Drosophila melanogaster: one gene and its partners. The protein of the gene in region 2 interacts with the protein of the main gene of each other region in a pairwise test. Each region holds a gene or a part of one and is shown on either strand. Other genes may lie near its edges.

Region 1 (7,351 bases), on a different chromosome or scaffold from region 2:
ATCTGAAAATTATGGAATTATAATAGTGAGTTCTAATTACTGCGCTTTCTAATCTGATCTAGTTATCCATAAGATTAACATGTTGGAAATGGTTATTTTCCTATTAAATTTAATTATATACCAATTTCAATTATGCATGATTAGGCTCTAGTGCCAGCGTTCCAATTGAGATAAATCCCATTGGTAATCCGATTAGCTTCATATACATTTTAGAAAGCTTCTGCCCAGCAAAATGGTAATGAACAACCTTGATATATAATTTATGTAGATCTGATTGCGAGCTCCGCTTAGAATCCAATCTAATGCTCGATTGCATAGTTAGGCATCCGAGATTTGCCCACCAAAGAGATGCATGCCTAGAATGGCAAATCATTTGGCGCCTCAACTGCGATCTCGTATTGGGCCAGTTTTGCAGCCTGGCAGCCTGTGGAGAAATGCAAGCGGTGCGGCAAGGTAATAAAAGCCATTTTGGTTTTCGGCCACAGTCAAAGCCGGCTCGGCTCGACTGGCGAGGCTGAATCTGGATAAAGTGGCGGAGTAGGAGGTGGCTGGTGGGACCTGGAGGTGGGTGTGGCCACAGCGCCTGGCGAAGAGGCATCTGCCGTGGCTCTCCATTTGCTCCATTTGCAGTCTATTGGCTGCCTGCTGCGGCTGCAGGCGCCCCGCATACAAAACAGATTTCCAGAGGCCCAGCACAGCACAGTGCACAGTGGAGCTCAGCGCAGGCCAAGAAAACGAGTTTGGCCCAAACGACTTGGCACGACTTGGGCCCAGTTCCAGTTGGAGGTTGGGGCATAGGTAGGGGCGCTGGTGTATGCCAGCATGGATAAACTTGTGGAGCTGGAGCTGCGGCCCAGGTGTGATGTACTTGAATAACTTAACGACGCAGGCCCGGTCTTTCAGCGGGCCGCGATGAGTTGTCGGTCGGTCGGTCGGTCGATCGGATCGGCCATTTACGCATACATATGCATGGCCGCCTATATAATCGTACGTATATGCATATATCTGTATGGCCGCATGTAGATGCTGTTGACCAATAAGCATAAACATCCCAGCATCCGGGCCTAAAGAGCCGCCATCTTAGCTTTAATGAACATGAACATGAAGGTGAGCTACCTGCCTCGCTGCGAATGGGAATGAGATCGGTACGCACAATGGATTGGGCTATAAGGTATAGGTACCTCCATACCTGTGCCTTCTATATAGAGGCGATATATGTGTGTATGTATGTGTGACCTGGCCTGGGCATACCTAATTAAACTAATGAAGCAAGCGAAGAGAGTAGCGTCATCATCATCATCACCATCCATCTTCGAGGGCCGAACGTTGCCGAAGCTGCTGCTTTCGTTCGGCTAATGAGGTTTATTGCGGCTGTCGTCGCTGTGGATCCCCCCAGCCCCACTTCTTGAGGCACCACCCACCCCCATGCCATGCCGAAGAAACAACGAAGACCCAGTTCTCACACAAGCGATTTTAGGAGCATAAAAAAGATACAAAAATTTAATGGATTTTAGCACGCACACCAGCACACGCAGCCAACAGATACATGTACGTGCTCAGATACAGATACACATACAGATACTTATACGTATACACCCTCGCAGGTGGAGGGGTACTAAATTATATGGATTGCATGGAAATGGAGGCAGTGCTGCATGCTCGTACCACTAAGTAGAGTAATTGCATGTGGAGGATCCGTACTTAGCTAGTTGGCTGGATTCGAAAACAACTAACCGGACTTAAATCAGGGTGTTTTCAAAGGTTCCAACCCTTATATTTTTTTTTAGGGTTGACGTTTTACAGGGTGTTGACTGCCTTAAATGTTATTAGACCACTAATTAGTGCTATTAAAATTAATTACTCAGAAAACATTTATGTGGCTCATGTGAAGTAAGTTCGATTTTGCGGGCAGGAATATCTTTTAAAATCAGTTTTAGTTTTAGTTTCGGGTGTATTCCCGTGTATTAAGCTTTTTGTGATCTTCTGTTATGTATATGTTAGTGAATAAATTTGTATTCTTTTACATTTTTTTAAATTATCCTACAACCATAAAACAATTTTAAAGAAATTTTAAAAATGCGAAGTCCAACTTTAGGTCAGTTTAGTATAATTGCAAAACGTTTTATATAAATATTTTGTTAACAAATTATAAGCGTTTAAAACGGCAAGTTAGATTTGGATTTTTTCTCATGTATTTTTAAATCGACCAAAAGTATTTATCAGGTTTTTAAATCTACAGTGAAAGTACCGAAAATCACTTTTCTGCCATTCGGGAAATGTTGAATGAGCAATAATTTAATTTCCTTGGTAATCTGCCAAGTTTAATGCCAATCATGACATATCATTGATGTTACGTCGAATCGGATATGTCTAACCACTTTGGCGATCTCCTCTATTATCCTGTTTAATGGTAAATGTTTTTATTTTTCCACTTCAATATTACAGTTACTAAGCACGCATCTAAGGTTTCACTAGAAATCTGACAAAGTATTCAGTATTGTTTTTGATGATATTGAATATTTAAATTCCTAAAGAAATTCTTATATGATTTTTTGTTGAATGGAAAGGGATTTTTGCTCACATAATATAATAGTTTGATTGCCGTGAATGGCATGTAGTTGTAATACATTAAATTCTGTTATATCAAGTTAAAATAGGATTTCATTTTAAAATAGGAGTGTACTCTTCAGATTCATCAATACAATTAGGCGATTAAGCTGTCCAAACACGATTTATAAACATTTCGAAAGATTTATCTCTCTCTTCCAAGAAGTTACAACCATTGGAATCTCCTTTTACGTCAATGAAAACTTAAGTTCCTGGTTGCAGTAGGGAAAGTCCAGAAATGATCAAGCAAACATTAATTCTTAAATACTATTCACTTTTAGTATCCGGGAAATGTGTAAAAGGCGGACAATCAAAAACAAGTTCTAAAGGAAATAAGTAAATTTCAATTGGATATATGCATTTCCAATCCAGCTTAGTCACGGTAAAGCCTTAATTAATTTTCAAACATTGATTGGAAATCCACATATACAGATGGTTGTTTATTGGCCATAGAATTTTATTTGATATTGAAAACTATTTAGATTGAAAACGAAGTTAGCAAACTTTAGGTAGATCGCAGCCTTGACTTGATTTATGGGGCAGCCATAAAAGATCAAACTGAATGAAATGAAATGCCCCGTCCCGTGATGAGCCAATCCCAAGCAGGAAGATTTGGAAAATGTGACGAAAAATGCGACAGGCTTTCGCCCATGAGACATTCTTAATTGTGATTTTCGGTTTCGAATTTCTTACGAAAAGTGTGTGCGGACTTATCAGAGCTTTTCATCTGTACTTAATTTAATTTCATGGCTTCATTTCCATTCATAATTCCAGCCAATTTGTAGACGGGAATTTCCCGTCGGAAACTACGAAAGTCAGTCAGCTGAAATGGCTAGCTAATACGTATAAAGGGGAAATACTTATATACAGTCATATACTTATATATGGATATTAAAACCTCATGCGTATCTATCAAGCTGTGTAGATCGGATACAAATCTTTATAATGGCCTGACCTCTGGCCGAAATATACCAAATGTTAAGACTTCTTCTCGGTGCGTCGCCTGTGCGTTCTTGGCCTCTGCTTTTTCCCAGGGTCTCCACCCCCGCCGACTTCTCCGGCGTCTTGGTTTACTTTCCACTTGACCAATTTCGAGTCGCGTCCGAAGACGGTTCTTAAGTTATTCGCAGTCGACCATTTACATATTTACGTTTACGTTTACGTTTGCCGAGGGAAACGGAGAGAATCGAGAAGCGGATACGAATACAAGTGCAAGTGCTGCGGGGTCTGAAAACTGGGGCCACACCAAGGAAAATCTAAGCAAATTCCCAGATACTATATACTGTATAACCCCCATATATATATATTTATACATATATAACCGTGCTTTATAGTTGTAGCTTACTGCCACAGTGTGCATTCGACATCCCCGACGGTGTTTCTCGCTGTCGTGCCCGCCGCTAGTATCTTTGTATCTTAGTATCTTAGTATCTGTGATTGTGACTAAGTCTTGAAAAGTCGCAGTCATGGGCCCCCATATATATAAGTATATACATATTTATTGTATATATATATATATGTACGATCTAGAGAATTTCTTCACCACTACACGAGCGCCTTTTCCATTTTTCATTATGGTTATTATCTTGAAGATATGTATCTTCGCTTCGGTTGGATATAATTAAACAGCGAGAAAAAAATTTTAGCATGGGAAAAATGTAAATATTACTTGTAATTTGTTAGCAGATGATGTGGATGTTCGTGATCATATGAGGGTTCCATTTTTATACGGCAACGGCGATGTTCGTGGTAACGGTGACGGTGACGTTGATGTTGTTGCAGTTGCAGTTGTTGCTTCTGTTGTTGTAGTTGTTGCTGTTGTTTTTGCTGTTGCTGACGTCGGTGGTGGCAGGTTGAAATTGGTGTTGTTGTTGTTGTTGTTGGCTTTGCTTTAGCAGGGCCAGCAGCATTTTGCTTAATGTTGCATTATTCCGTTAGTTTTTCCCTTTGTCGGCGGTTCGGGTGGATTGGTGGGTGGTGGCGGTTGGTGGTTCGCTGGTGGTGATGGTGGTGCCACTACTACTGCTACTGATGTCTGCCGGGCCGAGCATTTTTGCCCAGTTACAGTTCCAACCATAAATTTATGTGCCACGGCATGTGTGAATTTGCGTCCATTTGTTGTCAGATTTTGTTTTGTTTGTGGCTCAGAGCCTAACCCACATTTTGGCCACAATTTCGCAATCACCGAGTGATGTAAATATATTTTTGAATCTCACTATTCACTGGTGATTATTTTGAAGATATTGAAAAATACACACTTCAAATTTGGATTTTCGATTGGCACTTGGTGTTGAAAAGATACTTTTCAACACCGGAACGATGTAAACTTTTTATTAAACAGATTGTGTCACTTTTTACATAGTTTTACCGGTATTGATCTACGTTCTTTAAAATCACTTGTTCATTAGTTTTTGGCCCTAAAGCGAGCTGTTTAAAGGTTGACTAACGAACGTATCCGTAGCCTAAAATCAAGGGCTTCGACATTTCACAAGATACAAACAGCGGATAGCGCTCTTGGGAAAATGAAAATTCACGGCACAACAGCAACTACTAAGCAAGTAACTAACTAACTAACTAACAAACTAACTAACTGGGCCTATGTACAGCGGGCCAGTTTGTATGTAGATATATATATATTTATGATTACAGCCCGGGGACGCAGATGGCGATGTCAATGGAGAGCCACCAGAGTCACTACCGAGTTCCGCCGATGCCAGGGCTTGAGTCAGAGTTAAAGGCGAACTGAAAGTCGGAGCCGCATGAACCACGCTGATGACGAACCGCAGGCCAACTGAACTCGACGACCGATCGACGCTCTCGCGAACTGGGGGAACTGTGAGCTGGCGGCTGGCAGCTGGGGAGCTGGGAGATTGTGAACCGAACTGAGGTGTCTCTGCCTTCAGAGCCCGTGCATAAGGCCAAAAAGCGAAAAGCCATAAGCTGAACCTTTCGCGCAGTCTTGAATCGAAACAGCCAGAGAGTGGCGGCAGCGGCAGCAGCAGCAGCTGTTCATCGATGCGGAACGAGCAAGTGGCTCTGGTCCGAGCCCAGGTGACTTGGCCCTGTCTCCCAGACTATGCCGTACCATAGACAAGTATACTTTACCCATAGCCTCCGAACCGAGAGCAGCGGCGAGTTCTTTTGAATCTAATGAAACACAGAGCTTGTTTAATATTCATTCGTTCGTTCGTTCGGTTCGTTTCGTTTTGTTTCGGACTCTCGCGATCTCTCGGTCTCACTTTCAGAAATGTAAAACCTGTTCCCCGAGATCCGTTTGTTGTGGGAGAGACAACTTTGCATTTGGTTTGTTTCAATTGGTGGAGGCCCCCAATGTCGTTGGGGTCCATATATACACAACCGTACGTCTGTATGTGCACATGCATATACTAGCGGATGGGGGGATAGCACCCATACACGGAAGCCAGCGTATGCAAATATCGTAATGTTCGGAACCTCTGGGAAAAGGGTGTTATTTGGATCAAATGGGGCACCGTCTTTCAGAAAGAGAGAGATTTTGCGAAAGATTCGCAAATGTTTAAATTGGCAATCTCTAAGCAAATGGAAAGCAACGAAAGTCATTAATCAAAAGGTGACTAAATGGGAATGAAAGGGATTTTCAGGCAGTTTGTAAAGAGTTTAAACTTACAAAACAATTTGTTAGTAGTAAGTCATACTATCTTGTTCACTATCAAATAGATTTTAACAGAATGTAAATCAAAAAGTAGCTCATAGATACAATATTCATAAATCTACACAAAAACTAATACATTCTCTGATCAGCAACTCAATAGTAACTATACCAACTCTCTTAACATTAAAACAAAGTTCTTATATATTTAATAAAATATATATCATGGAATAGATCACAGTTGAAAATGCTTATCTTAATACCATCTTACTGTCCATTAAGTATCCGCCCAGTGAGCCCAATGCCTTGAAAGCGGCTGTAATATTCAAATAGAGCCATATTTAATTTTTATTTCACTCTCCACCCACCAAAGTTTTTGGGGCCAAGCTGATTGGTATCCAACTGGAGATAAGCAGCCAAATTGCATATTGCAACAACTGCTGCCAGCGAACCGCACAGCCAAGCCCAAAAAATAAAAAAAATCAAAGGCACAAAAAAATCGAGATGAAGATGAGGAGGTAGAAAAGCGACGAACCTCCCAGAAGACGAGTCAAGTACGTTGGCAGGTAAAAGTGCATGCGGCCACGCGCAGGGCATTTAATAATAATAAACTCGTACTCGGATGGGGCTACCTCCATCCCCAAGCCCAGCCGGAGTTCATAATTAAGCGCCAGAATGCCGGGAAAGCCTTCGCTTCCTCTTGCCATAGATGCAAAATATTTGTTTATCACATCGCGATAATTGCCGCCGGCGATGCGAGGCCCAAGTCTTCGCGGATTCGTGGTCGTGGATTCGTCGATTTATGCATGTGCACAGGTGCGGGGCGGGGGATCGGGCAGCGGCCAAAAGGTTCCTCCGACCATCGGAGCATCGGTCAGACCAAAAGAAAGAAAATCCCAAAAGGGGGGGAGCAACTGCAGCGCAAGCGTGTGCCGATCGAGAAGGCTGGAGACTGGAGACTGAAGACTGGCGACCGAGCACTGAAGTCTGAAACCCCAAAGACCAAAGACTAAAGGCCGAGAGAACAGGAATGGGAAGCGGGGTAAAGATTGCGAATGAGGATCGGATCAAAGCGTGCCTCGGTGGTGGGTACAAGTTTATTGGCGTGGCGTATGT
Region 2 (9,802 bases):
GGGCATCGAGTTTGAGCTCCAGGGCAGCGGCTATCGCTTGTCGCTGGTCAAACGGCGCTTCGTTTCTGGTGCGTTTGAATATACCATACGTGTAATATAAACAGCATCGTAACTCTTGTTTACTTTTCAGGAAAATATGTGTGCGAAGGCGATGGCATTCGCAGTGGAGCCACACCCACGCCTCCGTCGGTCGGGTCCACCAGTCCGTACTCGGCGAAGTCAAATTAGTTACTCCCCACTCAATAGACGGCAAATGGGAACGAAAAATGGCAATATGGCAATAGGCTCGTGAAAAACTAGAGAAATTTTTGTAACTAATCTTAAATATGAGACAACCACATATACACCCAAACCATATTGAATTAGGCACACGAATAGAGGAGCCTACATAGTTTTCTCTGAGCTTTTTATTATACCCCCCTTTCTTGATTTCGAAATGGACATCACAATGCGGAATGAAATTGACAAACTTTAAGATTTCCACAGATCGAAGCACGACAAGATTGAGGAAACTGGAAATTCTATCAATTCGCATTCCAACAGTTTAGATCCAAACGAAATCGAAAGTGGGACCTATTATGTATTTTTGTACACACAAAATTCTGTTTTTCACGCGAAATGTTGAATCTGCCTGCGGGAGGTCCGAAATGCGGGCCTGCAAAATCTGGATGTATTATTTGTTATATATATACGTATGCGAGTATATATTATTAAAGTGTATTTATTATGTTTAACTGAATATGATGTAAACGAACGATATTGTATGTAGCTATGTAGATATCTAAAAACAACACACCGAACGTTAATTTTATGTTCACTTTTGTACACACAACCAAATCCAAATGTATTAAATGTAAGATACAAAACCTGCACTGCGTCTTGGCTCTTGGAATCTCGATGGATATTGCTTTCGTCACCGGGCATCATCTGGTCTGGATAAGGCGACACCTCGGGGCGGTGCTCATGCAACCGGAGTTTGTCGTCGTTTTCAGCGACTCTCGTTTCTCCGGCGATCAATTAATTATCGAATTTAGGCAAAGAACATGACAAACTGGTTTCGGTCTCTTTGGGGCGCCTGGCAAGGCGAACACATAAATACATACATATGTACATATAGGAAATTAGCAGGCCGTTGAAAATAGAACAAGAAATTAAATGAAATGAAATGCTGAAATCAAAATCATTAAAATGTGGGTGCACAGATCTCGCTGGGGAGCATTAGCCTAAAATTTAATTTGTAAATTTCTGTAAGAAATGTTTTTAAAATCGTGGGGCAGCTGTCGTTGTGCTACCATCGAAAGGCGATGACGTCATGCCGCCGCCACAAATTGATCTCAAGGTCGAGTCGACGGACGCGTTTTCATTTCACTTGGCACACTTGACTGGTGGGCTGCCTTTTAAAATACAAAAAAAACACAAATTGCACTCGTCCATTAGGAGGCAGGAGACTACCTATATCTTGAATCTGTTGGAATCTCCGGCAATATGCGAATCCAATGGATGCAAGGGTGACTGACAGGAGGAGTACAAAAAATACTTTACACTTCCTATGGTTAGCTGAGCGTATAGAGATCGCCGACGCTGGCGAACGATAAGATTAAATTACTAAACAATTGTGTTCATACAAATGCATATTGTATATTGCCATTGCCCGCGGGTACAGAACCCATTAATTGTTTAACAAAAGCAACCCAACCGACCCAACAACACTGATGTCTGTTGATATATAAAATTAACAGCCCTGAAATCTAGAACGCAGTCGCTGCTGTATTTTTAGTTAGATAACAAATTATTAACAGATGCTGGGCGCTGAGCTTTTCGCAAGTCAGTTTAAGGAGTTAGATTAATAAAAGGTTTCTAATCTGTTTAACAACATTGCACTTTATTTATATTGACTGCATTAGTAGTGCTTAAGCATATACATACATATATTTATATAGATATTACTGGTATAAATTAGGGAACAAGCTCTCTGGCTTGTACTTTTGGGTTTTATTTAACAACTTTCTAAACTAACATTAATCGGTTTAAAATTATGTGGTAGATTAGTTTAATTCCGTTTGTCTGACAAGCGCACCCTATATAAAAACACACAACTCGCCCATATATACACATCCATACTGTTTTTGCTAATAAACAGTCAACTTTCGGTGATCAGTTTCAATTCGCCACCCAGCACAGTGGTACGAGATTCCTTGAAATGCCAGTTGGAATTTCCAAAAATTTTAACACAATCTTCATGGCTTTGTTTACAACTTGGGCATATAAACAAATATGAATCAGTGGCGTTTCCAATAGTTACCAATCTTATCGAACTCGGCCATCCACTTGTCCCACTGTGCATTTAGTCAATTCAAGTTGATAGTACCCATGTGTACATATGTTTTAGCTTCGCCATAAATATCGCCGACTTCTGAGTGTGTGCGTGTCTAAATAAACTACGGCTGACATCATTCCTGTTAACATATTCGCAGTTAAGCTCATTATATCGCAAGACACAATTTCGTAAAGTGATTAGTTAGTACATCTTGCAGCACTGGGCTCCTCCTCCGCATAATTCCGCATGATTCCGATTCCACTGGCCTGCAAGAGATGAAAGAAGAAATCCGATTTAAACAAGTTCGTAAATTCCAATCCCCACCAATCGTATCTACATATGGTTGTATCTATATTGTACACGCTCGTGGATAATTGCTTAATTGCGGATCAAATAGATCATTTGATCGAGCAAACAATGGGGGTCTGATGAAAAGTTGGAGTGCTCTTTTAAATATTAAATCTCTTTTAGACCATTTTTAAACCTCCCGTTTTATTTACAGTAACTTTTTACTGAACCTCGTCGTCGGTAGTGGAATAATTGAAAAAAATAAACGCAAACGTGCCTGGAATTATGTTTTGAGTGTTCGGCATGCGGTTTTTCTAAAATGCGCAATTGACGCCCGCCGGTTCGGTTCGCCTGAATTTATTTCAACTTTTGCGCTATATTGAGACCGAAAACCGATTTCTATTGCCGTCTGTTTATTTGCATATTCCGCTTTAAGGCTCAAGTGAAAAAATTCCGAAAAAATTCAAGGTGGAATCGAACGATCGTTGGAGAATAATTCCCAGCAAGATCAACAACGAGTCTCTCGCTCTTATCAAGTGATTCAAAAAACGATGTATCTTTAGAGCTAAATAAACAACAGAACCAAGCTGAACAGGGCAGAACAGCAATAACTATAAACTCTATATCTTCTGTGGGCAGATCTTATTTTAGGCCCCACAATTTGCAGCCAACTGTTCGACGCTATTATTATAGCATAGTGGATCACCTGGCGGCCTGATAGCGAATATATACACAAATGCCAACTAATGAAAAGTTGCCTCCATAGCATGGCAATGCACAGTTAAGCGCTATGGCCTTATCTGGCGACCTCAGCACATGACCGTGAACGAAGCAGGGGGAATTAATCAAATCGAAAGAAATACCAAAATTGGGCTGGTGCCACTCCTCCAGAACGTGGCGACCCTGCAATGGATGTGCATGTGTTGGATGTCTTTGATTCTGTTCGATTCTAAATTCGAAACTCAATCATTTATAGGCAACTGACTCATGACAGAAACTTCCGTTGCGAAAAACGTGTAGCCAGAAGATATGTTAGCCAAATGCTTCTACATGGCGCTCTTGGATTCGTATGTATGTATGTACATATAGCTATATATATCTATATGTGTGCTACGGCAGTATATGGAAACCGCTAAACAAACAAACAAACAGCCAGGGCGTTATGTAAAGTAAACAATTTGAAGACGAACCCAGGCGAACGGAAGGGCCCCAGAAAGTGAAGCGTTTTTAATAGGTTTCCCATTTGTAGCGCAGAACGATGATGATACAGTGACAGCTTGGCAAGGCAAATATTGAAAGTTTCTCTGGACATTGCTTGAGGCCCACAAAAATTTGAAAAAGGGCAGTGAGATATAGCCAAAATTATTGTTCCGCAAGCACAACTAATATCTATTTTAAAACAAACAACAAGGGAAAGTCTCTAAAAATAAGAATGTCTCAACCAAACCACGGAGAAACAATTTGTTTCAGACAAATACAAATACGATGCTTAAAACAAACAAATGCCGGAAAGAAATCGTTTCTAGAAAGTACTTTTTAAAACGTTTTTACGACCAATTTTGTTTGACCTTTAGAAAAATGAATATAGAATTTGAAATTTGGAGTCTAAAGAATATTTGTTTGTTTTAAATTTCGCGACTAAGCTCACCCTCTCGAAGGACTACTGTAATTGTCAATTTCGCCTCCCAAGGCCGAACCGCACCCAAAATGTACTCTAATTTACGACCCATAACAAAACTGCACCCGTCATGCGTCTCACCTGCTTGTGCGCCATTCCACTCCACGGATGGAAGTGGAATCCAGCCTGCTGACCTGTTGACCCGTGCCACGCCCCCTCCCTCCTACAGGACGTAGTTGCGCAGCTTTTCGGTGGGCAGTGTCCGATTGGCGAACGAGACAATCGCCGCCGCCGGCTGGCTGACGGACAGGTCGCAGAACACATGGCACTGGTTGTCCGTGGAGCTGTGCGACCTCCTGGCCACGAAGGCGAAGATGGTCTTCTTGTCAGACTCGCCCTCACTGGTCCACATCCTGTTCTCCGGATCGATGGCACAGTGCGAGATAACATCCGCCTTGTAGTGCTTCCGGAAGAACTTCTTGCGCGTATTGTCCGTGAGCGTGATGCCCTGCGAGGAGACCTTGAAGTGCACCTCCGTGGGCTGCGGCAAGGGTTGCTGACCGTACATCTGGCGGATGGCCTTGCGGATGGCCTCGTTTCCTGTCAGCGATTCCGTGTCGCAGGAGTAGAGCCACAGCACATTGGTGGCTGCTCCGTGGGCCAATAGATGCTGCTGGGCAGGGGTTGTGGCCCGCACCGGTGGTACTATATCCCGATCGGGCAGACGGAGGAGACATGGCAACGCCAGCTGGCTTATGGAATGCTCGAAGACGAGGGCGGACAGTGAAGTGAACACCGGCTCGTCATCGCAGCCCTTCAGATGCACTCCCCCCTTCGTGGGCTCGATGAGGAAGTGACGCACCAGCTCCTGTGAACCGGGAGGCGGTTGGGACACCCGCACCACCAGGCCATAGGAATCCTTGTACGTGGTGGAGTCCCTGACCAGGAACGTGCCCGGCTGGGCAGAGGCCAGCAGAGCGATGGCATCTTCGCGAGTGAGATTTGGTTTGTACCAGAACTGGGACGAACTACGGGCAAATTGTACGGAATCGGCGGACACCTCGAGTGGCTGCAGTGCAGGCGGTACGCCACGACGTGGCCCTGTTTGGTAGATCGACTCTGGGGGCAACTGGGTCGTCGGCGCCAGAGACGCAGATGATGATGATGATGCCCCAAAAGGCGTGCGCGGCGTGACCGGAAAGGCGGGCGTTTCTGGCCTACTGGTGGGACTAGGCGTCATCTGCTGTTGGCCATTGGTATTTGGGTTGCTCACTCTCTTCGTACTGGTGGCATAAATGGGCGAAGCTGGTGCTATAGCTGGTACTCCTATTGCCGGCAATGGCGAGGTGGACTTGGATGTCGATGTGGATGCGGAGAGATCGCGACGAGTGCGCGTGAGTGTCTCCTCCATGTGGTTCTGGCCATAAACGGCGCCCAGTTGCTCCAACGGCTCCAACTGCTGGCGTTTGTGGGTCGTTTCCAAGCTGTTAATTGTGTGATAATTGCGTTCCATGGTCCGCCGATTGACCACGCCATCTGGCACATCCTGATCCAGCCGCAGATCCTCGAAGTGAATATTCCTCGTGGTATACGGTGTAGGTTCGGGCCTAACATCATCCAGATTCAGATTGAACTCAAAATCGTAGTTGTATTTCGTTGATTTCCCATTAGACGAGGGGCTCTTGCGGTATAGGGTTCCATTGCTATCGTTCTTCAGCCCAATTCCATAGCCATCGCTCGGGTAGTATTGCCTCTGCGGCGGAGCGGGTGCCACTCTGGCCCGCTCCCCGGACGACTCCCTATCCAGATTCCTATATTCATTGTAGACCTTTTCGCGTCGCTCCCGCAGCAGCTGCTCGAAATTATCTCTCACCGGCGTCGGCGTTGCGCTGCTCGACGTGTAGTGGTATGTATTGGCTATGGTGTTGGTATTGGTCGAACTGGTGGGACTAACGGCATTGCCCAGCGTTTTGCGCACCAGCAAAGGGCTCGTTAGACGTGTTGGTGGCTTTATCATATCGCCAGTACCGCCATTATTGCTAGAACTATTCGAATTCACATTCGTATTCGTTGGCCCGAAATCAAAGTCTAGAAAACTATCCACTCGCGTCGGTGTCGGAGTTTTTCGCAACGGTGTCGAAGTTTTGGCTATGCCATAGCTAAATGGCAGCGAGTTCTCGCGCGCGTGATAAGGTATTCCATATCCATTGCCGTTTCCAATTCCATTTCCATTACCAATTCCACTTAGATTCCCATTTCCATTCGCCTGCCCATTGCCATTCACATTATAGTTTTTATAGTAATTATTGTTATTATTGGCCGCGGTGTATTGGTATTGATATTTGTGGTCGGCGGCAGCAGCGCTTTCTTCGTACGGCGTCCGCATTGTTTCGCGAATTCCAAAAGACTGATTCAAAAAAAAAGGTCGAGAAGATACAACTCAAACCGTAGAGTCGGCGTTGGCGTTCCGCTCTCTCTCTCTACCTCTCTCTCGCGTGGCAAGTCAAGCAGCAAGTCAACCTCCTCAAGTCAGTTTCTGGTTCGCCATGAGTGGGCACAGTGGGCTAGGCCCTCGTCAACCCATCTTTTAGGTAAACATTTCTAATTATGAACTTTTAATAGTGCGACCAACCTGGCGTATGGGTAATATTTTTGACAGATTTGTGGCAAAAGTGCGTATGAGCAACATTTGACCTTGTTCGATCGTACGATAGAAAAAAACTTTACAGTAATTGTAATCATTTATAACAAGTATTAAAACTACATTATCAATATATTTCACAAAATTGCAATATTGGTTACTTGTAAATTTCGATTTTTGGTGACACCAAAAACTGTATCAACCAAATCCAGAGATATTGCGAAAGTGAAAGAACAGCTTTATAAATAGAACTGTCATCGGGTATTTATTTAATAATCCCACGCCCACTGTGCCTCCAATGCTCACAAGTACACGCCAAAAGGTGTTGGATGCCAAGAGAGATCGTTCCATGAGAGAGTGCACATAGCGGAGACAGGGAGAGAGATGCGATGTGGAGAACGCGAGTCGAAGAGAGTGGAGCGTCGGTGATGTCATCCCCACTTATTGACGAATACACACGAAGGAGAGCCCCAGCCAAACGCACGAACTAATCAAAACAAGCAATCGAAGCCTATACAGATTAGGAGCCCCGTAAAGTTCGATCCGTGCACGTTGGACGCGAATTTTGATCAAAGAACCCGCACATTGCAGTCCCAATTGGAGACCAACGTGTGAAGCGATCCTATTGGAGTGCAATTGATAACAGCTGTGGAAGATCGCTCCCTCTTGGACACCTCTCTCCGTCTCTCTCACGTAACAAGAAACCTCAATTGGGGGGCTTTTTGAAATGGTAATTCGCCGATGGCACCCACTGTAACTTCGGGCACGTTCTTCCATTGAATTCTTGGCGTTTTCATCAATTAAATTGCCTATTTTTCTTTAAATGAGCTTCATTTGCTTTCCGCTGAGTGAAACAAACGAACTTTGTTTATGCCACTTAAATGGGGTTTTCTTTATCAATCAATTGCGGTCTTGTGTTCCAGCAGGTTCAGGTTGCACTTTCCCAATGAACTTTTGTGGCTATTACACATACACCATCAAGCGAGAGGCCACAAACGTACACTTGAAAAAAATATTGGTAAATTTAATAAGAGACTACAGTAAACAATTTAAATGTCTTTCAGACTTATGTATTTTGATGATTATTCTAGAAAACCCTAATTAGTTATTACTCTTACTGTGGAAACTGAAGTATGTTTTCCACCATTTACATTTTTCTTTCAGTGGAACCCATAGAGAAGAAGCTGTCGCATCTTTTTTTGATTTCTCAACATTTTCTTGTAGAAAGTGTCGTGGTGGGCAAACGAAACAACAACAACGAATATAACAACAATGGCTAAGGCATTATAATTGAAACCCCAACAGTTAAGTGACGTCAGTGGAGCAACAGCAACATGGCATAAAGAAAACAAATCAAATTCAGCGAAAATATGCGCTTAAAAAAATAAAGTATGAGAAATAACTGCACAAATCCTCTGTCAATGCCAGCAGAGGTGATCTTCTTCTTCATCTGCTCCTTGCCATGGCTGTTGTTGTTGTTGTTCTTTCAGCAGCCAGTTGTGGGTGGCAAATAAACAAGTTGCTCTCTCGCTTGCTCACTCGCGTGGGGCAGACCCCACCGCCTCTCTTTCGCTCTCCGGTGACCTGTCGCCGCTCTCTTTCGTTGGCCTTAGTTGCGTCCCTAGTTGGCAACTCGTTTACCTTTTTCGTATTTTTTTTTTCGCTTTTTGTCTTGCAGCTTTTCGCTGCGAACATCTGTTGTTGTTAACTCTTTCTGCCGCAAATCTGTTGAAACAAAGTCATGTGGAATTTCGGTAATGTCAATCAGAGCCATATGCTGTGACAACCGGGGATTGCGGGCCCATCTGGCCATCTAATTTTGGCCAAAACGATGGAAAGCTATCGCATGGACTATTACTGATAGTTTGAGTGTGGTTTTCGGGTGTGCAACATACGCATTCGATTCAATTGATGCGAATGTCCGCATCAAGTGGTCGTTTCGCTTCCCACTCGAAAGTTTCCAACGCTTAATCAAGTTTGGAGATTGGACTGTCATATGCATCTCAAGGGGATCCTTTCCAAGGCTCGGAAACGAACTTTTGGATCGAATGCGTACATGTAATGTGGCTTACACTCGCATGAATGGGCTTGGTGAACTATATAGATCTGTGATCTCATTCAGTTAAAGTTGAATTATTCATTACCTTTGTTTAATAACATTGAAATATATTTATAACTATGTGGGTTGTGTCATTTCCTGTCAGAAGTTTGCGTCTTATTTTTGGCTTTGTTCTAAAACTTGTTTGGCAATATACTGGCCAATATTGTTCTGAAACTTCCAGATGCTGATAATTTAGCACATGCACAAATTATTGTGTTCCAAATAATTGGTCGTAATGCTTTAGTTTTTCAAGCACCAAAGGAAAAAAACACATAACTTTTTTTATTGACGTTCATTGAATTTTATTGAAATTTTGCGAGTTAATACAAAACCGAAAATAGAAATTAATGCAATTAACATTAAAAACGCCCGCTCACCGTTACAATGCCACTGAAAAACGTTTGTTTAATACTATGGTTAACTGATTTACAATTACTAGAAGAGTGTCTCGGTTCTTGTCTACAAAAATGTAAAATAATAGTCACATTTAAAATTGCATAAATTCTAGACAAGTGTAGATGTTATAGTATGTCGTACATATTGTTTTTTTTTTACTTTTTTTGTTTTTTTGGAGAAATTCTCATGCATAAAATGTTTTTGTATTTCATAATCATTCTTCTTTCATATTTTCATTTATTTGTTGTTGTTGTAATAATTTGGAATTATGCATTATATGTTTTAAATTTTATTGCATTTTATGTAATTAAATATATATAACGTACATCACAGCAAAACTTTATAATTTTTTTTGTTTGTGTTTTTCTTGGTTTTTTTTTTTTTTTTGTTTTGTTACTATAAATATATTTTTATGATAAGCTTTTGATTTTTGTTAATAGT
Region 3 (7,323 bases), on a different chromosome or scaffold from region 2:
GTCACTGGACATGGTCTCTGTGGTCGCTTTATGGCTGGAGGTGGTGGTGCTGCTGCTCTGGCGTTGCTCTGCCGACTGCTGAGCACCAAGATCAGCTGCTCGCCTTGGTTTATTTTCAAGCGATGACGATTCGCATGCTGCGATCTTCTGCTTTTGTTCGCTTGCGTCATCTCTCTTGGCGTTTTCGTGAGCGGTCGCCTTGGCCGCCGTTTCGGCGCTCTTCACCGGTACCGGCGGCGGAGGGACAGGAGGCGCTGGGGGCGAGAGGCTCTTGCGCAACTCGCGCATCATGGCCGCCGTCTTGAGCATCTCACTCTGCTGCTGCTGGTGGTCTTGCTCGAGAACCTGGGCCTTGGACAACTCATGGTATCCCCGACGCTCCACGAACTTCTGGTGAGCATCGAGCAGGTCATCCGGTTGGGTTTGGTTATTTACCAAATCTCTCTGTCCGGGCGACAGGCAGACCAATAGCTTGGGATCGGACTGGGTCGGCAGACCCAGCCAGGCGGAGGAGGACTTGCTCTCATTGGCGTTTAACTGCAGCTCCTTGATGTGCGGCAATTGGGGCATGGGATAGGGCATCTTGTTCTGGGATTGGTCGCTTATATTCTGGGCCACACTGGCTAACTCCTCGAGCACCTGTTCGCCATAGGGCATGGAAGCCAACTGCTCGGTGCACAGCAGGCGCAGCTTCTTTATTGCTTCCGTATCAGTGTCGGCATCTGCATCTACATCCGCATTTGCATTCGCAACCGAATCTGCAACTGAAAGCTCTGGCTCTGATTGGGGAGTGGGTGGTGCGGGTGGTGATACGGGTTGCGGTACGGGTGGTGGTGCAGGCTTTTGTCTGAGTGGCGGTGTAGGTGGCTGAGCAGTGGGTGGCGGTGGGGGACTGGCCAGGTTGATGGCCGTGCATTGGCTGTGGGTGGTGCTGTCAGAGCAGTGGGAGTCGTTCGACTCCTGCCGCTTCAGCTGCAAGGAAGCTAGGTGGAACGAGGAAGACTCGGGACTGTAGGGTGGCACGGAAGCGGGAGGTGGGGGAACGGGCGGCGGCGACGGCGATCGCGGTAGTTCACCTTGCTCCTGTTCGCGCCGCGTCATCTCGATCAACTCGCGCACTTTGTCCATATTGCGAACGAACTCCTCGCGCGTGGCCGCTAGCGGCGATGCTGCCCCGAAACTAACAGTCGATCCACCAGATACATTTGTATCTTTTGCTAATTGTTCTCGATCGGCGGGAGTGGGCGTCGGCGTCGGCGTCGGCGTTGCGGCGCTCAGCAGCGAAGACTGCGAACTGGCGAGCGTCGGGTTGGCGTTAACAGGTGTGCTCTCGCGACTCTGCTCGCCCTCTCTCTCCGTCTCCGTTTCCGTTTCCGCTTCCGTCTCGCTCCTGTCTGCAGTAGTGGTACTAGTGCTGCTCATCTCATCATCCGGCCGAGCAATCAACCGACTGGCATCCGTATCCAAGTCTACGAGGGCTCTCTCCGCCAAGGCGGCAGCCTGCTCTAGTTCTAGTTCCATGAGGTCAGAGACGCTGCTGGAGGCCGAGGAGCTTAGGTAAACTAGCTCCGCATCTTCAGACTGTGGAGACAGGGCGCTCTGCAGTCGGGTGCAGCTCTCCAGATCGGTTGACTCCTCCAGCAGCTTGGTTTCGAGCTTAAGAGGCGACGGTGCCTCCTCCCTACGCTTGTGTCTGCGACTAAAGTCCAACTGACTCCTGGGAAAGGTCTCGTTTAGCTTGGGAGTGCGGATCCCCGTCTGATCGCTTCCGCCAGAGGAGGCGGTGGAGTTTCTCCATTCATTCTCCTCCAGGATGCTGTCCAGATAGCGGGGATTGAGCAACTGCGGCATGAAGTGCGATTCCAAAGCGTTCCGATACTGGGCACGTTTCTGGCGCACCTGCTCATGCTGCTCTACTCGGCTGCTGGACGGCACCTGCTGATCCGACGGCGATCGCTCCGGTCCCAAGACTACCGATCCCTCTGATTCCGAGTCTACTTCGCATACCAGCGGCGACTGCAGGGAATTGAATTCCCCGGAGCTGAAGTCGCTGTTCAGTTCCATTTCCTGGATTTGCACATTGCGCGAGAAGTTCGAAAACTGGCCACTTGACACGTTCTTCGGCGACTCCACCAAATAACGAGGTGGTGGAGATAGGGTTCCGGCCAGAGAACCGGTAGTGCTGCTAACCTCCTCGAAAGTGGGCTTGGCATTTTGCTCTTCGTCGGTGGTTTCCACGTGTATCTGGTGGATAATCACCTTGGAGGTGGGCTTCTGTGGAGGAGGCTGCTGGGAATAAGGATCTTCTGTTTGAAACTGAACTTTTATTGTTACTTCCTTTGGGGATTTCGGTGCAGTGTCATCATTTTGCTGTTGGGCGTTATTCAAAATGGGTTCCTCTTTCACATCATGATGCAGTTGCTGTGCGAGGCCCTCTTCTCTCTTCTTCGGATCTACAAGGATTTGTGGAACTGCAATATTTTGCTGATGCGCTTTAGTTGATTCCTGTAGGTGCTGTGCTTCATTTTGCTCCTGCTGCTGTGCATTTTGCTCAGTGTCTCTCTGTTTTTGATAACTTTGCACGGCAGCAACGTGTTGCTGATGTGCATTTTCCACAAATTCCATTGCCTTTTCGAGTTGCAACACATATTGCTCCGGTTCCTTTGAATCGTGTTGCTCTTGCTGTGGATTATTGTCAGTGGTCTCATCCTTTGAGTAGTCCACTTCATCATAAACTTGTTGATTCTCTTCAACTTCGACATGTTTCTGCTGTGCGTCCTCCGAAAGATGACTAGATTCAGGAAGTTCCTTTGGACTCGGTTCATTTTCCCGTTCTTCCTTAGTTTCAATCTCCTGCTGAGCTTCAGGTTTCTCCTTCTTTGAATCCTCGACCTCCATGTGCTGCTCCTTAGATTCCACGGCTTTGGGTGGCTCTGGAGATTGAGCTTTGCCATTGGCCGTGTCCTCTTCCCTCACAATTCGATGAACTATGACCTTGGCTTGCCGGGGGCTACCGGGTGGCCTTCTTATAATGGTGGGAGGTGGACGCACCTGCTCTTCAGATTTTCCATTAGACGCCTGCTTATCGGACTTTTCCTTGCGATGTTTTGAGTTTTTGGCACCCATTTCTGCGTCTGAATCTGCTTCTTTTTGGATGACTGTTGCTGGTTGCTCGAATATTTCTTCTTTTTTTTCGGTTTTCTCAAGAGTGTTCGTCACCTCTTCGCTGTTTTCCGTTGGCCCATTTGAAACGCTGCCAGAATTTCCATTATCATCTACGAAGGAAGAAGATTGCGCTACTGCGATCTGAGTTTGGAAATCCTGCTGCTCCTCCCGATCCTCCGCCCCTTCTGCCTGCTGCTGATGGTTTTCGTTTTGGTTTTGGCTCGGATTCTGATTTTGATTTTGGTTTCGATTGCGTTTGTTGCGATTGCGATTGCGATTACGATTGCGGTTATTGGGCATCGTCTACGGCACTTTCGCTCGATCTGAACTAATGCAGTTTTCCTTGTGTGTGAGATATATATGTGTTTTTGTGTGTAAGTGAGTACTTCGTGTTTCGTGTTTCTTAATCAGCCAGAATCTACAGTACAACTAAGTGTTGTTTCGTTTTTCGGTGTCGTTTATTTCTAGTTCCCTCTGTGTGTGTCACTCGTCGCCAGAAACTCAAACAGAACTGAACTGAGAACCAGAACCGAGAGCCGGCGGCATTCTGCTCGCGACGACAGCCGGCAAAATCGAAAAAAAAAAGAAAATAAAAAAATAAAACAGCGACGTCGCTGCCGCTGCCGGCGTCTACGCCGCCCCGCCCACCGCCCACCGCCTGGCACGCGTCCGAAATCGTTATGTTTTTAGGTTTATTTTTCGCCGCCGAGATCGCGCCTTTGTCTCCGATTGCCTCGATATTTTTTCGCCAAATTAAATTGCGTTTTGAATACTAAACTTTCGCTCTCGTTTTGGGGGTATGTTCGATTTGAGCAACGGGGACACGGGGTGAAAAGTTTTTTAAATATTTTTTAAGATCGCGCTTCCCGTTCCTCGTGGCGCTGGCGACCGACGGACAAGGAATGGGCCGTGGGCTTTCCACGATCTCAGCCGGGAGCTAGCTCCCCAGTCTCCCACTCACACACATTTTTACAGACAGCCCGATTCGGATGCACAGTGGCAAGTATTTGAAAATATACACACAAAAAGGAAAATCGGGGAATTCATAACGATGCTCATGTTCACAATACATACATGTACGTAGAAAACAGAAAGTCGTACGGGAGAGCGGGAGAGAAATGTGCAAAACCAAAACAGAATCAGAATCAGAATGCAGGGTATTCCAAAGACATCAAAATACCAAAGAGACCGAAAAAAAAAACAACAATATGACTTCTAGGTCAATGCAATTTTCACAAGCCAAACAAACTCATAAAATCCGAGATGAGCAGAAAAGAAACGCACGGCTCGAAAATATATTCGGCACATTCATAAATATTAGAAAATGTTTTTGGAACACGTACATAATTTGTTTGTGGAATTTAAGCTAACGAATATATGCTTTCGAAAATAAATTTTTTTAAATGTCACAAACACATTTTTGTCTTGAATTTCGGTTGATAAATGCTCAGGAATGAAAGATGTAAGACATTAAGAGAAAATAAAGAATTTAGAGGTCAAATGAAATCAGATAAACCGTTTTCCAACCACTTAAATTGTTTAATTTTTTAAGTGGTTGATCTAAAAAACTTTCGTGCAATATACCCAAAATGGCTCAATGCAGGGCATTAAGAAGAGAACTCAATACGGAAATAGTTTGCCACAGTTCGAGTTTGCTTATATGTATCTTCTGGCCGATGTGTGTGCTTGTGTATCTGATGAGTCTGCGCTGGCTGTGTATCTATATACAACTTATGGCATTTTAAAGATATTTTTCGTGCGTAATTTCTTTGCTTTTTGTGGTCACAAGTCTCTGTTTTCGGTGTACTCTTGAATAATTGAAGCAACATATATCCACGCGCATATATGTATGTATAGCTCTCCCATGTATCATCCCAGTGGGCCATGCGGTTAGTAGTATTCCGCTTTTATTTTTAAAGGTACTTAATGGCTTTCAATTTCTCTTGTTCTGTCTGGCCCACAGCCCCATCATCTCCATTAACTTCCTCCGACCAGAACCAATCCGAACTGAAGTATCTTCGCGGGTCTGTCAGGTGCCAGACGAACCAGACACGTGATGTGGTGGTTTTGGCCCGGGCATTATGCAATTTCTGCACAGTGTGACAGACACGGGTATACCAATTAGGGAATACTAAACGATCGCTTTCCCCTCCTCAGAAACCCACTCACTTAATGTGTATTCTCAATTGGTTTCGGTTTCCGTTTGGATTTCGTTTGGGCCCCACCAAGTTGCCTGAATCACTGACGTACGACGAACATCCAAGTAGCCGCTATCTATATCTGTGGATCCATTGTAGCGGCTTCTATTTTCAGTTTTCTTGCCCCGTAATATCAACAAATTTGAAATTGATTTCTACGCCTCGCCCAATTTGCTGTAGAACAGCACACATTTTAGTTATCTTTTCTGGGCTATCGCTGATAAATTTTGCATTTTTGATAAAGAACGTGAGTTGTGTGCGAAAAGTTTTGCTTTCAATGAAAGTGGTTTTTGTGGAATCAAATGCAGCTAGCAAGATAACTTCTTGGGAAATTACTAAAGATTGAACTGTGATATCTAAAGATGGATAGAGGGGTCATCAAAAGAAGCCTTTCATGAAGATTTGATTCGACAAATGCGCTTGGCAGAAGATCTGTGATTCATTTCTCGCTTGGGAATTTCTTTACAGAGTTTTTATCTTCCCTTAGATAAAACAATAAAGCGGATTGAGATATAAATTTAAGGGATATCTAGAGCATAGAGTTGAAGCGATCTCTATCTTTGTCGTAAAGTTTCAAAGCAAGTGATTTCTAGTGTTTTCAACTAATCTAATTATTTATTTTGAATTGGTATAATTACATTATGACTTGGAGTGACTTTCAAAGATTTTCTCTCCAACTTTTCCGTTTACTGTGATCTTTCGAATGTTTGCTTTTAGCCACACTTCCCATTCACTGAACATTCACATTTTGTGATTATTTGTATTCCGAGTGTTTGGCTGCCTGCCGATTTGTTGGCTTTGCACTTATGATGTTGGGGGTATTTGCGTATGGGTATGGGTTCGAGATACATTCTCTCGGCTACATAGATACACTCTTCTTTCTTTGTTGTTATTGCTGCTAATTAGCATAGATTTTTGAGAGTCTCGGTGCTGTCATGTTTACGCTTTGCTTATTTATTTGGGCAGCGCCGAGCGTTTTGTTCTCCCATAACGAGCTGAGCACATGTCTGTTTTCCGCTCTCCTCCTACTTATTGTTTGTTTGCCTTTTACACAACAAACACACAGATACACACGCACACACGCACACGTAGCGTATTAACACAAACAATGTGCTTAGTAAATGAGTTTATGAATCGCCCCACAAGAACATCGAACCCGCTCTGACGTCACGTCCTTACAATTTAATTCCCAATTAATTGCAAATCGTCGGCATCGGCGAAAAGGCGTTGCATCAAAGGCCGCGTACGTGAGCCAACTAAACTGCAAGTGCATAAAAAGAGACCGCCGCCAGAAGTCCGCCGACCCACTGTCTCCGGCGCACAGTGGGCCCCATTCTGTTATCTCGCCGGCACATTCTAAAACCGAATAATGATCTCAGTGCCGCGTCGCATCCAAGTGCCAAAGTTGTCGCGTAATTGCCAACGTTTACGCCAATAACACTGGTAGCACTGCTACTACACCAGCAGCTTCGACCTATTGCGTCAGTTTTCGCAGGTTTTCCCGGCCACATTTCCCCCCGCCGACTTTCCCTAGCCGAAGTTACACACACAGAGGCCGAGAAGTTGAGACGGCAAGCCAAACAAAAAGCACACACAAACACAGGGAGTCTATTTTCAAAGGGCGAAGTCAATGGGCTAGTCGAAAACCACAACTGAGGTAAGAATCACTACACTTCCGGAACCGAGTTTGTAGTGCAGTGTAATTTCCGATAGCTACAATTAAATGGCTCTCTCGCTCGATCGACACAACGTCAAAGTCGAAGTTCTAGTGCCCAACTGAAGCCGAAGCTCCAAAAGCTCACCGTAACACCTGGAAACACGACACATCTAGGTAGCAGATAAGTATCTGACGAAGCCTTCAACTTTTCGCTGATTGGCGGCCGTCTCGCTCTCGAGCCAGCCCTCTCCCTCGCACTGGAATCGATTGCAAATCGGCTTCCGACAGCTACTAATTTGCTGC

What was found.
Region 1: the proteins of by (region 2) and Sox15 interact in a two-hybrid assay, tested with the Drosophila melanogaster proteins (one large-scale study listed by BioGRID).
Region 3: the proteins of by (region 2) and CAP interact in a two-hybrid assay, tested with the Drosophila melanogaster proteins (one large-scale study listed by BioGRID).

Annotation. Positions count from the first base shown.
Region 1 is NT_033778.4:14,207,012-14,214,362, forward strand, and holds the start of Sox15 (Sox box protein 15), read right to left. Parts: upstream 5,403-7,351; 5' UTR 4,330-5,402; coding exon 4,277-4,329; intron 1-4,276.
Region 2 is NT_033777.3:9,526,376-9,536,177, forward strand, and holds by (blistery), read right to left. Parts: upstream 6,637-9,802; 5' UTR 6,610-6,636; coding exon 4,447-6,609; 3' UTR 4,365-4,446; exon of another isoform or gene 2,584-4,364; 3' UTR 1,863-2,583; downstream 1-1,862. Other genes in the region: CG8176 (uncharacterized protein), read left to right, coding at 1-68, 131-228.
Region 3 is NT_033778.4:10,275,483-10,282,805, reverse strand, and holds the start of CAP (CAP), read right to left. Parts: upstream 4,071-7,323; 5' UTR 3,466-4,070; coding exon 1-3,465.